3 linked regions of the Canis lupus familiaris genome follow. The protein of the gene in region 2 interacts with the protein of the main gene of each other region in a biochemical or structural test. Links are inferred from orthologs where the notes say so. Each region holds a gene or a part of one and is shown on either strand. Other genes may lie near its edges.

Evidence for each region. The genes of interacting proteins can lie anywhere in the genome.
Region 1: the proteins of DLG1 (region 2) and EVI5 interact in a test that uses a peptide from one of them, tested with the Homo sapiens proteins (2 studies listed by IntAct, with this or other methods). The link is inferred for Canis lupus familiaris from reciprocal best matches to the Homo sapiens genes DLG1 and EVI5.
Region 3: the proteins of DLG1 (region 2) and FRMPD4 interact in a test that uses a peptide from one of them, tested with the Homo sapiens proteins (2 studies listed by IntAct, with this or other methods). The link is inferred for Canis lupus familiaris from reciprocal best matches to the Homo sapiens genes DLG1 and FRMPD4.

Annotation. Positions count from the first base shown.
Region 1 is NC_049227.1:56,750,167-56,754,342, reverse strand, and holds the start of EVI5 (ecotropic viral integration site 5 protein homolog), read right to left. Parts: upstream 2,816-4,176; 5' UTR 2,629-2,815; intron 1-2,628. UniProt on the Homo sapiens protein: Functions as a regulator of cell cycle progression by stabilizing the FBXO5 protein and promoting cyclin-A accumulation during interphase. May play a role in cytokinesis.
Region 2 is NC_049254.1:30,951,308-30,955,449, reverse strand, and holds the start of DLG1 (disks large homolog 1), read left to right. Parts: upstream 1-1,325; 5' UTR 1,326-1,499; intron 1,500-2,169; exon of another isoform or gene 2,170-2,322; intron 2,323-2,468; 5' UTR 2,469-2,517; coding exon 2,518-2,572; intron 2,573-3,685; coding exon 3,686-3,817; intron 3,818-4,142. UniProt on the Homo sapiens protein: Essential multidomain scaffolding protein required for normal development. Recruits channels, receptors and signaling molecules to discrete plasma membrane domains in polarized cells.
Region 3 is NC_049260.1:8,631,802-8,635,910, reverse strand, and holds the start of FRMPD4 (FERM and PDZ domain-containing protein 4), read right to left. Parts: upstream 2,816-4,109; 5' UTR 2,600-2,815; coding exon 2,559-2,599; intron 1-2,558. UniProt on the Homo sapiens protein: Positive regulator of dendritic spine morphogenesis and density. Required for the maintenance of excitatory synaptic transmission. Binds phosphatidylinositol 4,5-bisphosphate.

The DNA of each region.
Region 1 (4,176 bases), on a different chromosome or scaffold from region 2:
TAAATAAATCTTTAAAATATATATATATCATTTAAAGTAACATCAAAAATTTCAAATAGCTAAGAATAAAAGATATGCAAGACTTCTACACAGAAAACTACAAAACATTACTGAAATTTTAAAAAGACTTAAATAAATACAAGTATATGCCACGCTCATATACTAGAAAACTCAATGTTAAGATACTCTCCAAACTGATATATATAGATTCAATTCCAATTTCCAAAATCTATTGAAATTGACAAGCAGAATCTGAAATTTATACGGAAATGCTAAGAGGAAAGAACTGACCAATATTTAAAAAAAACAAAGTTAGAGGCCTTATACTATCACATATCAAGGCTTATTATACAGTTACATTAATTAATAGTGATACTGGTGCAAGGATAACAAATAGACCAGTAAAACAAAATACAGTACCCACAAACAGATCCACACTTAAACAATCACCTGATTTATGAGAAAGTGTCACACAGTGCAGAGGGACAAGTATGGTACTTTATTTTCAAAAATGGTGCTAGGTCAAAAAGATATTCACCTGGCTAAAAGTGAATCTTGATCCCCTACAATCCACCTGAAATTTACTCGAAATTGCACAAATTAAATGTGAAAAGTAAAACAAAATAAAACTTCTGTAAGGAAAAAAACTTCTGTAAGGTAACATAGGAAAATATCTTCATATTCTTAGGCTAGGCACGATTTCTTAAATAGGGCACAGAAAGCAGTACTCAAAGAAAAACAGTAAATACATTTCATTGAAATTAACAATGTCCATCAAAAAAAAAAGAAAAAACACTATTAAAAGATGGAAAGACAAAATGGAATAAGATAAACTATGTATAGGTTACAGATATGGATATGTGTGTGTGTGTGTACCTCCCAGAAAGGGCTCTTATCGAAAAAATCCTAAAAAAATAAGACTCAGACATCTCACAAAAGACATACAAATGACCAATAAAAGATAAAGCCACAACCATTAGGAAAACACAAAATAAAACCACACTAATATATTATTGCACCTCTACCAGAATAGCAAAAATGTTTTGAACTGACAAGCATCAGCAAGAATGTGGGGTAATTGGATTACCATTCCCTGCTAATTAGCACAACCACTTTGGGAAAATGTTCAACAGTACCTAATGCTAGAGTTTTATCATTCACATACCTCACAAACCAATTCCACTCCCAGGTCTAAACCCCAACCTAGGGATCCCTGGGTGGCGCAGCGGTTTGGCGCCTGCCTTTGGCCCAGGGCGCGATCCTGGAGACTCGGGATCGAATCCCACATCGGGCTCCCTGCATGGAGCCTGCTTCTCCCTCTGCCTATGTCTCTGCCTCTCTCTCTCTGTGTGTGTGTGACTATCATGAATAAATAAATAAAATCTTAAAGAAAAAAAATTTTTTTAAAGAAAAAAAAATTTTTTTAATAAAAAAAAATAAAAATAAACCCCAACCTAGAAATACTGTTTCCTGAACTGCGATGGCACACTTAGTAAAAAAAAAAAAAAAAATTCCTTTACCTGCACTCCGGATTGTGCACTTTTTCTGTTTATTATTCTTCAATAAGTTTTCTAAGTTTTCTTGACACAAAGTTCTCAGAGACCGTAAGGCTAGTAGCGTTTTAGAACAGAAAAGGAGCTTCAGGTGAACTCAACAAAGTTTACGAATGAAATTAAAAACCAAAAAAAAAAAAAAAAAAAAAACTGCTAACACATATCAGTCCAGAACAAAAGTAAAAACCACCAACAGATAGCTTTTCTTGATTTTCAAGGAGCACTGGGTTTCTCTCATTTCAGCGAAGAAAGGAGTTTATTATTCTACAGTGTAACCCAAAGAAAAGATATCTGTGCGAGAAAATGCTGCTTTTTCAAAGTCACCTCTAACGGCAAAGGATACAGGGAAAAGCAAAGGAACCACTCCAAAGTTTTTAACTCTTCGTTGAAAGGATGACAACTGACTTAAGACGCTCCCCTCCCCTCAAAAAAAAAAAAAAAAAAAAAAAAAAAAAAGGCACAAAGAAATCACGGCAATTCTAAAGCAAACACCAACACCACAATCCAATGTACCGGAAATTCTGCGGTCAATCTGAGGCTTGCCCCGCTAGTCATGAGGTGATCCGGGCACGGGTGCGACCGCTGCCCGAGCGCATCCCTGGGGCTCACGCAGCACACCTGGCGAGCCCGTCACCCACCCGCCTGGAGAAACGCCTTGCGCAGAATCCCGGGGCCCACGTAAAGACGCCAACTTTGCAAGTCAGGGGCGCCGGCGGTCTCAGTCCGCGAAGACGCCCGGCGAGCACGGACTCCTGGCCTCGAGGGCGGGGCCGAAAGGTCAGCGTCCCCCGGGAGCCGCGGGCGAGCGCCCCCGAAGCCGCCCGGTCCCTCCGCCTCGCGGCGAGTCCAGTGCAGGCGCCGCCGGCGAGCTTCCTAGCCGGCGCCCACGGCGGGAGGGTCCCGGGCCGCCGCGGCCTCAGCGAACTTAGGCCCCGGCGGCGCCGAGCGCGCCCGCCCCGCTCGTGCGGCAAGTTCGGCGGCGGCCCCCGCTCGCCGCGCCGCGGCCCCGCCGTCCGCCGCGCGCCCAGCGGAACCCGGGCTCGCGGCCCGCCCGGCCTGGCGCGGCGCCCCTCACCTTGGAAACGTTGGGTGGACTCCGCCGTAAACATTAACTTCCCATCCAGCCGGCAGCCTCGCCGCCGCGTCTCAGCGCCTCGGCCCCGCTCCGGCTCCCCGGGCCGCCTTCCTCGCCCCCCGGAGCGCCGCGCCCGCCCGGCAGCTCAGGGCCGCCTCCGAGCCTCGCGCAGCCTGCGGGCGCCGCCGCGGCGCTGCTCCCCGACCCCCGACCCCCGGCCCCCTGCCCTGCCCGCCCGCAGGCTCCTCCGGGGTCCGGCCCGCCGCGTCAGGAAAGCCCAGGGCGCAGGCGCGGCGGGGCCTTAAAGAGACCGGCCGCCTCTACCGCATAATGGGTTCGAGCAGGTTAGGGGCCGGGCGGCCGGAGGAGAAAAGGAGAAGCCGAAGGGATTGGGCCGTGGGGGAACGGGGGCGGGGAAATCCCGCTCCCTCCCCCGCCTCTCTTTGAAAGCGCTCAGCCCTCGGCCTTACAAGCTGCAGACTTCCCGGTCTCTTGAACCGCCCCCTTGCGCGTACGAGCTGCCCCGGACACCACCCCCCCCCCCAGCGGGCCCCGCACGACCCCGAGCTCGCAGCTGCGGGCCTCCCGCTACCGCCTCGCCCACGCGCCTCCCAGGCCGCCGGCCCCCGGCGCCTAGCGCAGGCTTCCGAAAGGCCCCCCGAGCTCCCCGAGAGTGACCTCGGTCACTCTCCAAAACAATGATCACTGTGCAAATACCATTTGTGATGGCAAATGCCTCTACCTTCAGTCTTCTGGCCACGCTGGGTTTATGCAGAGTCCGACAGGGGGCGGAACATGGGCACAAACACGTGAAGTCCAGCCGGGCAACCATCCAGTATCAACGAAGAAATAAATTCTTAGAAGTAGTTAGTTTGGGACCGAAACTATCTACCAATTCCAGTCCAACTCCAAGAAAGGCGGACAAGAAAAAATGATAAGAGCAATATAAATTACTTTCATTACACATTTGTAAGTTACAAAATGACAACTGCCAGCACAAAAGGACTCCAAAATTGTTTGCCTAAATATTAGATAGCCCCCGGTTATTTTCTGATATAAATTTACAATCTCCAGAAGGGATTCCACTGTGGTAAGCATTTTAGAGAAAAGAACTCTCCTTTAAAAAAAAAAAAACAGGCTTAGGAAATACTAAAATATAGGAAGTAGAAACATGCCCTCCACCCAGCTAGCAACTTTGAAACCTTGAAATTTTAAGGGGCAAACTTTTTCATGACTTTTAGGTCATGCCATTATTTAAAGTCAATTTTGGTCAACAATTTTATGGAAACTGAATCCATTTTGTATAAGAAAGTTAAGAGATAGGGCAGGCCGGGTGGCTCAGCGGTTTAGCGTCTGCTTTCAGCTGCTTTCAGCGGGATCCTGGAGACCTGGAATCACGTCCCACGTAGGGCTCCTTGCATGGAGCCTGCTTCTCCCTCTGCCTGTGTCTCTGCTCTCTCTCTCTCTCTCTCTCTCTCTCTCGCTCTCTCTCGAATAAATAAATAAAATCTTAAAAAAAGAAAAAGTTAAGAGATATTTTGAAAATCT
Region 2 (4,142 bases):
GGGCTTCCTTTCACTTTTTCATCCCATTTCTTCTACGGAATGTTGCTTTCAACTGTTGCTCAATCTCCCAAGATGGTTGAGCCAGGAAAGCATGCATAGACGCCTGCTGCTAATAAATCAACACACCACTGCCTAGTTTTCCAAAATCACAGTGGGAAGAGCCCTGTACTGGAGATAGGAGAACTAATGCTGGGCTACAGGTCCCTGGGCAGGTTGTTTCCCCTCCCTGAACCTGTTTATCTTAAATTGAAATACTGGGTCAGATGAGGCTCTAAAGTCGTTGGGTTCTGGCAAGTTAGAATTCCAAGGTGCAACCCAAAAGTGAAACCCAGTGGTCAGACTTCTGAGTAAGTGTCATGATTACAGTGCAAGGTTCCCGGGACTTCCCTTTATCAGCCCAAGGATGTGGCCTCAGCCAAAGGCTGGCAGGTTTACAGGGAAGTCTTCCGGTTTAGAAAGACGATCTTCTTCGTGTTTCCAGTTTTGTTACTAACTCCGGGTGACCTTGGGCAAACTCGCTCAGGACCTCAGACGAGGGAGGTCCCTGTTACCCCCCCCCCCCCCAAAAAAAAGGTCTGAACTTTGAGAGCTTTTCGCAAAATTTCTCTTCCTACAACCCGGGCGGCTCAGAGCCGGAGCCAGGGTCTGGCCCAGCCAGAAGTCCCCGCTGGGACCTGCGGTCTACACCCAACCCCGCCGCGCGCGCCGGAGGAGGTGGCTCGGTTTCGGTGGAGGTAGCTACAGGTGAGCTCTTAAAGGGGCCGCCACGAGCTCGGGTGACAACCTGAGACGGGTGACTGGGCGAGGAGTGCAGACACGGGCGTGTGGATGAACGAGCAAGGGAAAGAGGGAACCAGGGTTTTCTTCCCTCCCTTCAATGCATTCACGCTTAGACTTAATCAGACTTAAAAACCCTCCAGGAGCAAACGCCTCAAACTCTCAATCTAGTTTACAAGCCCTTCTTTTTTCAACCCCTCCCCCCCAAAAGACTTGTACTGACGGGCGAATAATTTATTTTTTAAAAAAGATTTTATTTATTTATTTATTTATTTATTTATTCATGATAGACATAGAGAGGGGGGGGGAGGCAGAGACACAGAGAGGGAGAAGCAGGCTCCACGCAGGGAGCCCGATGCGGGACTGGATCCCGGGGCTCCAGGATCGCGCCCCCAGCGATGCCCGATAGTTTAAAGCATCAGTACGTAGTGGCGGAGAGCGCGCCCCCACCCAGGCCCCGCCCCCTCCCCGGCCAGGCCCCGCCCCCGCGGCGGGCAGGCCCCGCCCCTCCCCGCGCCAGGCCCCGCCCCTTCCCCGGCCAGGCCCCGCCCCCCGCGCCCCTGACGTGGGCGGCGCGGTCTACTCCTCCGCGAGACCGCTCCTCGGGGCCGGGGATCCGCTCCCCGGGGGCGCCGGGACCTCGCCGCGCGCGGAGGCGGAGGCAGCACGCGTGTAGGGACGTTACGAGGTGTGTCGGCATGTGTGTCCCGGACCTGCTGTAGGTGAGGTCGCGTCGCGCTCGGAGCCGCGGGCTGCGGCGAGGTGAGGGCGGGCTCCGGGGGCCGCGCCGGGCCACCTGTGGAGCGCGCGCCCAGTCGTCGGGCCGCGGGGCCGCGCCGGGGCCGCCCGTCCGCGGGGAGGCCGGCGGGGCCGCGCGCCGGGCCCCGGCCCCTCCGCGCCGCCTCCCCCTGCCGCCCCGAAGGCAGCGGCGCTCCGAGCCCGGGGTGGGCGCCCGCCGCCTCCTCACTTCCCATTGGCTGGGAGCGCGGTCACGTGGGGCGCGGCCGGCCAGCTCCGGGGCCGCCATCTTGGCGGAAAGTTTGGGGGCCGAGCGGCGAGGGGCGCGGAGGGAGGGAGGGAGGGAGGGAGGCGACGCTCCGGGGGTGGGGCGGCGGCGGGCGCGGCGGCGGGGGCGGCGGCGGCGGCTCCTCCTCCTCCTCCTCCTCCTCCTCCCCGCCCCCCCCGGCTCGCTCACCCCCCGCGTGCTCGGCTCCTCGAGCCCCGGGCGGGGCCGGGCGGGCGGCCCCCGAGCCCGTCCCGAGCGCACGCCGCTCGCGGGAACTTGGCGCCGCAGGTGTGGGGCCCGCGGGCCCGTGTCCCCGCAGCCTCCAGCCTCGCGCCGCTGCGCCCCCGCGCCCCGGAGCAGGTGGGGCGTCTGCACGCGTCGGCCGGGCCCGCGTCCGGGCACCGAGCGCCCCTGGGAGCCGGAGCTGCAGGTCCCTGTGCGGGGGGGCCCTCCCTCGGGGGCAGCTTCCTGGGACCCCCCCCCCAACCCTGCTGTTTCACTTGGGAAAACTTGGGCAGCGGGTGTGGCCCCTTCTTCAGGTACGGCTGGGAGTTTTCCGCGATTTTGAGAGTTCAGGGGAGGAATGCAACTCAGCACCACGATCCTCTTGTTTTGCTTCGGTTGTTCCCTTACTGTTTTTTTTTTTTTTTTTTTTTTTTAATTTATTTTTAAAATTTTTTTAAAGGTGTGTGCCCTCTTTCCGATACTGGAGGGAAAAACAAAAAACAAAAAACATGCCGGTCCGGAAGCAAGGTGAGAATTTATTTCGGGACCTCTCTTCTCGTGCGGGTGAGTGAGTGAGAGTGTTGTGTCTGTGTTCTGATTTGTGTTTTAAAGATGTTGGATTAGGGGATCCCTGGGGGGCTCAGCGGTTTAGCACCTGCCTTTGGGCCGGGGCGTGACCCCGGGGTCCTGGACTGAGTCCGCATCAGCTCCCTGCAGGGAGCCTGCTTCTCCCTCCTCCTGTGTCTCTGCCCCCCCCCCCCCGCCCCCATCATCTATCTATCATAAATAAATAAATCTATCTTTAACAAAATAAAAATGTTGGACTCTGATAAGACGGCGTCGTCGCCCTTCCCTGCTTGTTAGGAGACCGAAGCCGCCTATCCTGGAGGGGAGGGACCCCTGTCAGTGTCGTTTTCAAACTTTTCTTTTCTGGCGTCGCGGTCTGTAGTGGCTCTCGAGAGGCAGGTTCCTGTTCACTCCTCTGAAAGGTCTTCGTGAAGACTCTTTAATTGGTGTTTTGATATTTTAACTTTATTTATTTATTTATTTTTTGATATTTTAACTTTATGATCTTAGGCACTCTTTTGTGAGCAGTCATGGGAACCTGGCTATAAGAACTGGTGTTTTGAAACAGTTAAGATTCGGATTATTATTATTATTTTTAAAGATTTTATTTATTTATTCATGATAGACATAGAGAGAGAAAGAGAGGCAGAGGCATAGGCAGAGGGAGAAGCAGGCTCCATGCTGGGAGCTGATGCGGGACTCTATCCTGGACCCCGGGGTCATGCCCTGGACCAAAGGCAGGTGCTAAACCGCCGAGCCACCCAGGGATCCCCCAAGATTCAGATTATAATAACAAATTGTAGGTAATCTGCTTTTGCATGTCGGATCGGCTGAAGCTGTGTTAACTGATACTTTGATCAAACAGCCTTGTGTTGTTTTAGACTACTACACATTTATCACCAACTGTTTATCTTCCTCCTTTTTCTGTGACATACATTTAGAAATGTTTCAATTATTCTAAGGAATATATGTGTGTGTGAGTGTAGCAGCGTTGATTGACCTAAAGGATTTGGGGAGGTGTTGAGATGTCTTGTAGGATGATTTGCTGCATAAGTAGTGTGTAATAACTGTATATGTGTAATTTTAATCAAACTCTTGTTTCCTTCCCAGACACCCAGAGAGCACTGCACCTTTTGGAAGAATATCGTTCAAAACTAAGCCAAACTGAAGACAGACAGCTCAGAAGTTCCATAGAACGAGTCATTAACATTTTTCAGAGCAACCTCTTTCAGGCTTTAATAGGTGGGAATTAAAACTTTATTTGTGACCATTATACATCAGCTAGGCTTAATGCTCCTCTGAATTCATTTATTTTATTTTATTATTATTATTATTATTTTTTAATTTTTATTTATTTACTTATGATAGTGACAGAGAGAGAGAGAGGCAGAGACACAGGCAGAGGGAGAAGCAGGCTCCATGCACCGGGAGCCTGATATGGGATTCGATCCCGGGTCTCCAGGATCGCGCCCTGGGCCAAAGGCAGGCGCCAAACCGCTGCGCCACCCAGGGATCCCTTCATTTATTTTAAAACTTAACAGAGTGACGTATTTGGTTCTCTGTAAGG
Region 3 (4,109 bases), on a different chromosome or scaffold from region 2:
AGAAGTCAAACTACTGTGTTAATTCCAGCGTGGACTCATAGTCTCTCAATAATTCTCTGTAATTACCTCTGTCTTTACTCGCAGACAGGACATTTGGCAAATAGCATGTATGCTTTCTACAGCAACCGCTTCCCGAATTAACATGTAGAAACTCAAGTTCTTGGGAACCAAAGACAAGGCGAAGGCCCGGGGTAACTGTGTGTGTGTGTTCGTTCACCTCTAAACCACGAGAATTTTAAGCACTCAAGTAACCACGCTGATCAAAGCTAAATCCTTTAGGAAGATTATCCATTCTGAAATCAGGAAAATCCTGCAGTGTAAGCACTTTTATACTTCGCCTTTGAGAAAAGAACCTGATTTCTGTAACAGTGTTTAAAACACATGCACAAGACTTTATTCCTACAAGGCCAGGGAGCAGCAGCTGTAAACATGTGCCTCGGCGTACTGATGACCCTCTACACGTACTGCTATCTCAGCTTGGGGACCAGCGCCGAGCTCACACTGAGCAACAAGAAGAATGCCTATGGATGAAAGATTTCTTAATGGGCACATAAGCTCAGAACATGTGCAGCTTCTCTCTTTAGAATAAACACTCTATTTGGATCACGTTAAGGACAGAAAGTGAAATTCACACTCATTTACTAAATTTTAACCTCTCTTTAAAATAAGATCCTAATCCCCCACAGCCTGGCTTGGGTTTTGCAAAAACTCAGATTTGTGAATATCACGAAGGCATCCCAGAATTTAGCAAAATGAATATAAACCATCTTTTCACTGATATACAGCACTGTCCTCTCCCAAACTCCAAAGTTTAAGGACTAAATCTAGGCTCTGGATGTTTTTTAACATCTATCACTTCTAGCAGTTGAGGCCACCAAAATCTATCTTGGTTACTTTATACTGTTGAACTTCTTTTCCTTCGGCAGTCTCTGTCCATCACGCAGATGGCACCAGGGCAATCACTAAACTGTTGCTCACGGCCGTTTACCATCCATGGTTTGTGACTCGACAGCTGTTTATAAACCAGCCATAGGCAGAAGCATGCAGGAAGTTAACAGAACAGAGGTGTGATGCCTGGCCCTCTGTGATATTGGCGTGAGATCAAACAATTTGCCACACTACAATCACCCACCCTTTGACATGTCAGTCTTCTGATGTGCAGGGAAAACACCTCTTCGTGGGCTGCTCCAAGACAGACATATTTACCCATCAGCCGTATACCTCATGTCTATCCAGACTAAGTTACCCTGGGCCCTCTCCCTGGAAAATCTGCTGTGACATTAAGAGTGACTCATGTGAGCAGAGAGGGAAGGTGGAGATGGGCACTAAGAACACATAAAGACCTGTGGATGTTGGTGAAAGGCACATCTGAAAGGCAACTTGCAAACCGAATGCTTCCAAAATGGCCCAAATGTAATTTGGCCAAGCCAAGTCAACACACATTTTTTATCCGGGCTATCTGAGGCTGCTCATCCTTGCCTGGTGCAATCAACACATCCCACCCTGACACTAAGGAATAAAGGAAAACCTAGAACCATTTTCTCGTAATTCCAAGGAAGTCTAAACTGCATCCTGGAAAACTCTTCCTGTCTACCTCCTAAGGCCGTGGTTGGTGACTGCTGTAAAGAGCCAAGCTCAAGGGGCAGAAGGCTCATCATCCCAAAGACGTGGGTGAAGAAGGTGGAGTGTGGTCTTCTAAGCCTTCTCATACCAGGCGCTTCCCAGTTCACGCCACACTGCCAGAAGGACAGACCTACTTCCTGGGTTTGATGAAGACTTTGGAAGCATAAGCAGGGCAGAAAACCTAGAGCAAATGCTCTGACCAGGTAACACCTAGGCGCCCCCAAAGTGGAAATCTTCTTCCTCTATCAGCACTGCCAGAGAAATCTGCCTGAATCCATGATTTTTCTTCTGTCTCAACAACATGGCCCCTTGGAAGCAAATTTCTCAATTTTTCAGGGCTTGGGACTACATAGTTACCCAAGGAAAGGCTAAAAGGTCTCTTTCTTCGGTCTCCGTGTCTTCAGCATCTAGGTCACTGCTGGAAACACGGGACAATTACCCAGGTCAACCTACAAGCTGAGTTTTCAGGGTGTGGAGGTCTAATTTAGGGGTGGGGACCAGGGGGCCACTTTTGGTCAGTGCCGCTTAGGAAGCAGGAACCCAAACTCCAAGCACTTCTGGCTTTGCCTCCAGTAGCAATTACAACCATCTTCGCTTGGCCCTGAATTATACATGTGACCCCCAAGCACCACTGGGGTTTTTCCTAAGGGAAAACAAACTGTCATGACTATTGGTGCGTGCCTGAGGGTGTGCATGTGTGTGTGTGTGTGTGTGTGTGTGTGCGCGCGCGCCTGTGCTCTACAGCCGCCGATACACAAGCCCCACCAGCCAGTGGGAGAGAAGTTGAACGCAGCCCCTGGCCCCCTCCTTTCAGTCCTTCCTTAAGCCCCGCTGCTCTCTCCAGCTTTTGCCTCCCCCCAAGCCTCCCGAAAAATAAAGCACCAAGTTGCCGGCTGCGGCGGCCCCGGGTGCAAATGAACCGGCGCAGCCCCTACCTCGAGAGCTTTGCAATCTTCACAAAGCTGAAGACATCCATGCAGGCAGCCGGGCACCCCGAGCACGGAGGCTGCGGCGCCCCTTCTCACGCCAGCAACGGCAGCCCCATGGCCGGCCGGGACCTCAGCGCGCCCCGGGGCTCGAGTGGCGGCGACGGCGGGTGGCGGCGGCGGACCTGGAGAGCCCGCACCTGGAGGCGGCGGCTGCTACCCCCCTCCGGCCGTGAGCTGCGTGTGCATCCCGGAGCAGGACCATTGACGGGCGCCCGTGTTGGAAAACTCCACGGAGAGGGGGCCGTGGAGGGTGCGAGGGGCGGGGGTGGGGAGCGTGGCCCGGGTGTGCGCCCCGGCCTGGGGGACTCCCGGGCGCGCCGGGGAGGCGAGGCCCGGGCGAGGGGCGCCGCTCCCGCTCCCCAGCCCGCCGGCCCGGCTGCCCCGCGAGCGGAGGAGCGCAGACTGAGCCGGGAGGTGGCGGGCGAGCCTGGCACACGCGCACGCACCCCTCGCGGCACTGCAGCTGCCTCCCTGCCTCCTTCCCCAAGCTGAGTCCCTTCTCCTCTCCCTACCCCCACCCGCGGGGGGCGGGGGGGCTCTCCTGTCACCAGCTGCGGGTGCCTCCAGATCTGAAAGATTGATCTAACAGTCTCGGGCACAGCGGGGACGGCGAACGCTCCCCCCTCCCTCCCCAAACCGGGGGGGAGCCGTGCAACCGCAGGTTGCCGGAGCCTTGGTATGTTCCATAAACAAAACTAGCGATGGGGAAGGAGTAGGGACGATCCGGGCCGGATGGTCTGTCAAGGGGAAGGGGAGGGAGAGATGCCCAGCACCGCGGCTCGGTCTGGAGAGCACAGAGGTCCCACTGCTTCCCCCAACCACTGGAGCTAGACGCGACAGCTGGGCTGGCTGGGAAGGTGTGTCTTTGGACAGCAGCACCCGGCGAGCGTTGGAGAAATTAGAAAATAGGACCGGGAGGCGTTTGGAGGGGCGACGGTGCACACCGGGCGGCTTCTCGCTACGGGGGTACGGAGAGGAGGGTCCCAGAAGCCAGCGGCGGGGAGACGGCTAGGAATGGGGCTCCGAATCTAAAGGAGGAGAAGGGACGCGATCGGGGTCTGGGAGGCAGAGCTGAGACGCTTTCTCAAATTGAGCAGCCGGTACAAAAGGAAAAAAACAAAAAACCAAAAAAAAAAAAAAAAAAAAACCCAAAAAACCTTACTCATAAAAACAAAACGCCGGACACATAAACAAACACTCACCTTAGGCAGAGTAAACTCCAAGTTGCAGCCATGTAGAACTCTAGCCTTCTCTTTTACATAATTATCTTGGGTAATCAGCCCTCTTCATTAACTCAGTTCTCTGTCCCCGGAGGCTCAGGCTTCTCCGGGCCTCTTTTTTCTTGTTCTTTCCCTTGGAGTCTCAAGGCCTCTTCTCCAAAATCCTTTAAAATCTCTCCCCAGACTCTCTGAAGGTCAGATGGCTGCACAAAGTGTGTGTTCTCCCACCCAGAAGCGTTCACCTGATGGCAGGGCCACTGCAAAGAAAAGATGCCAC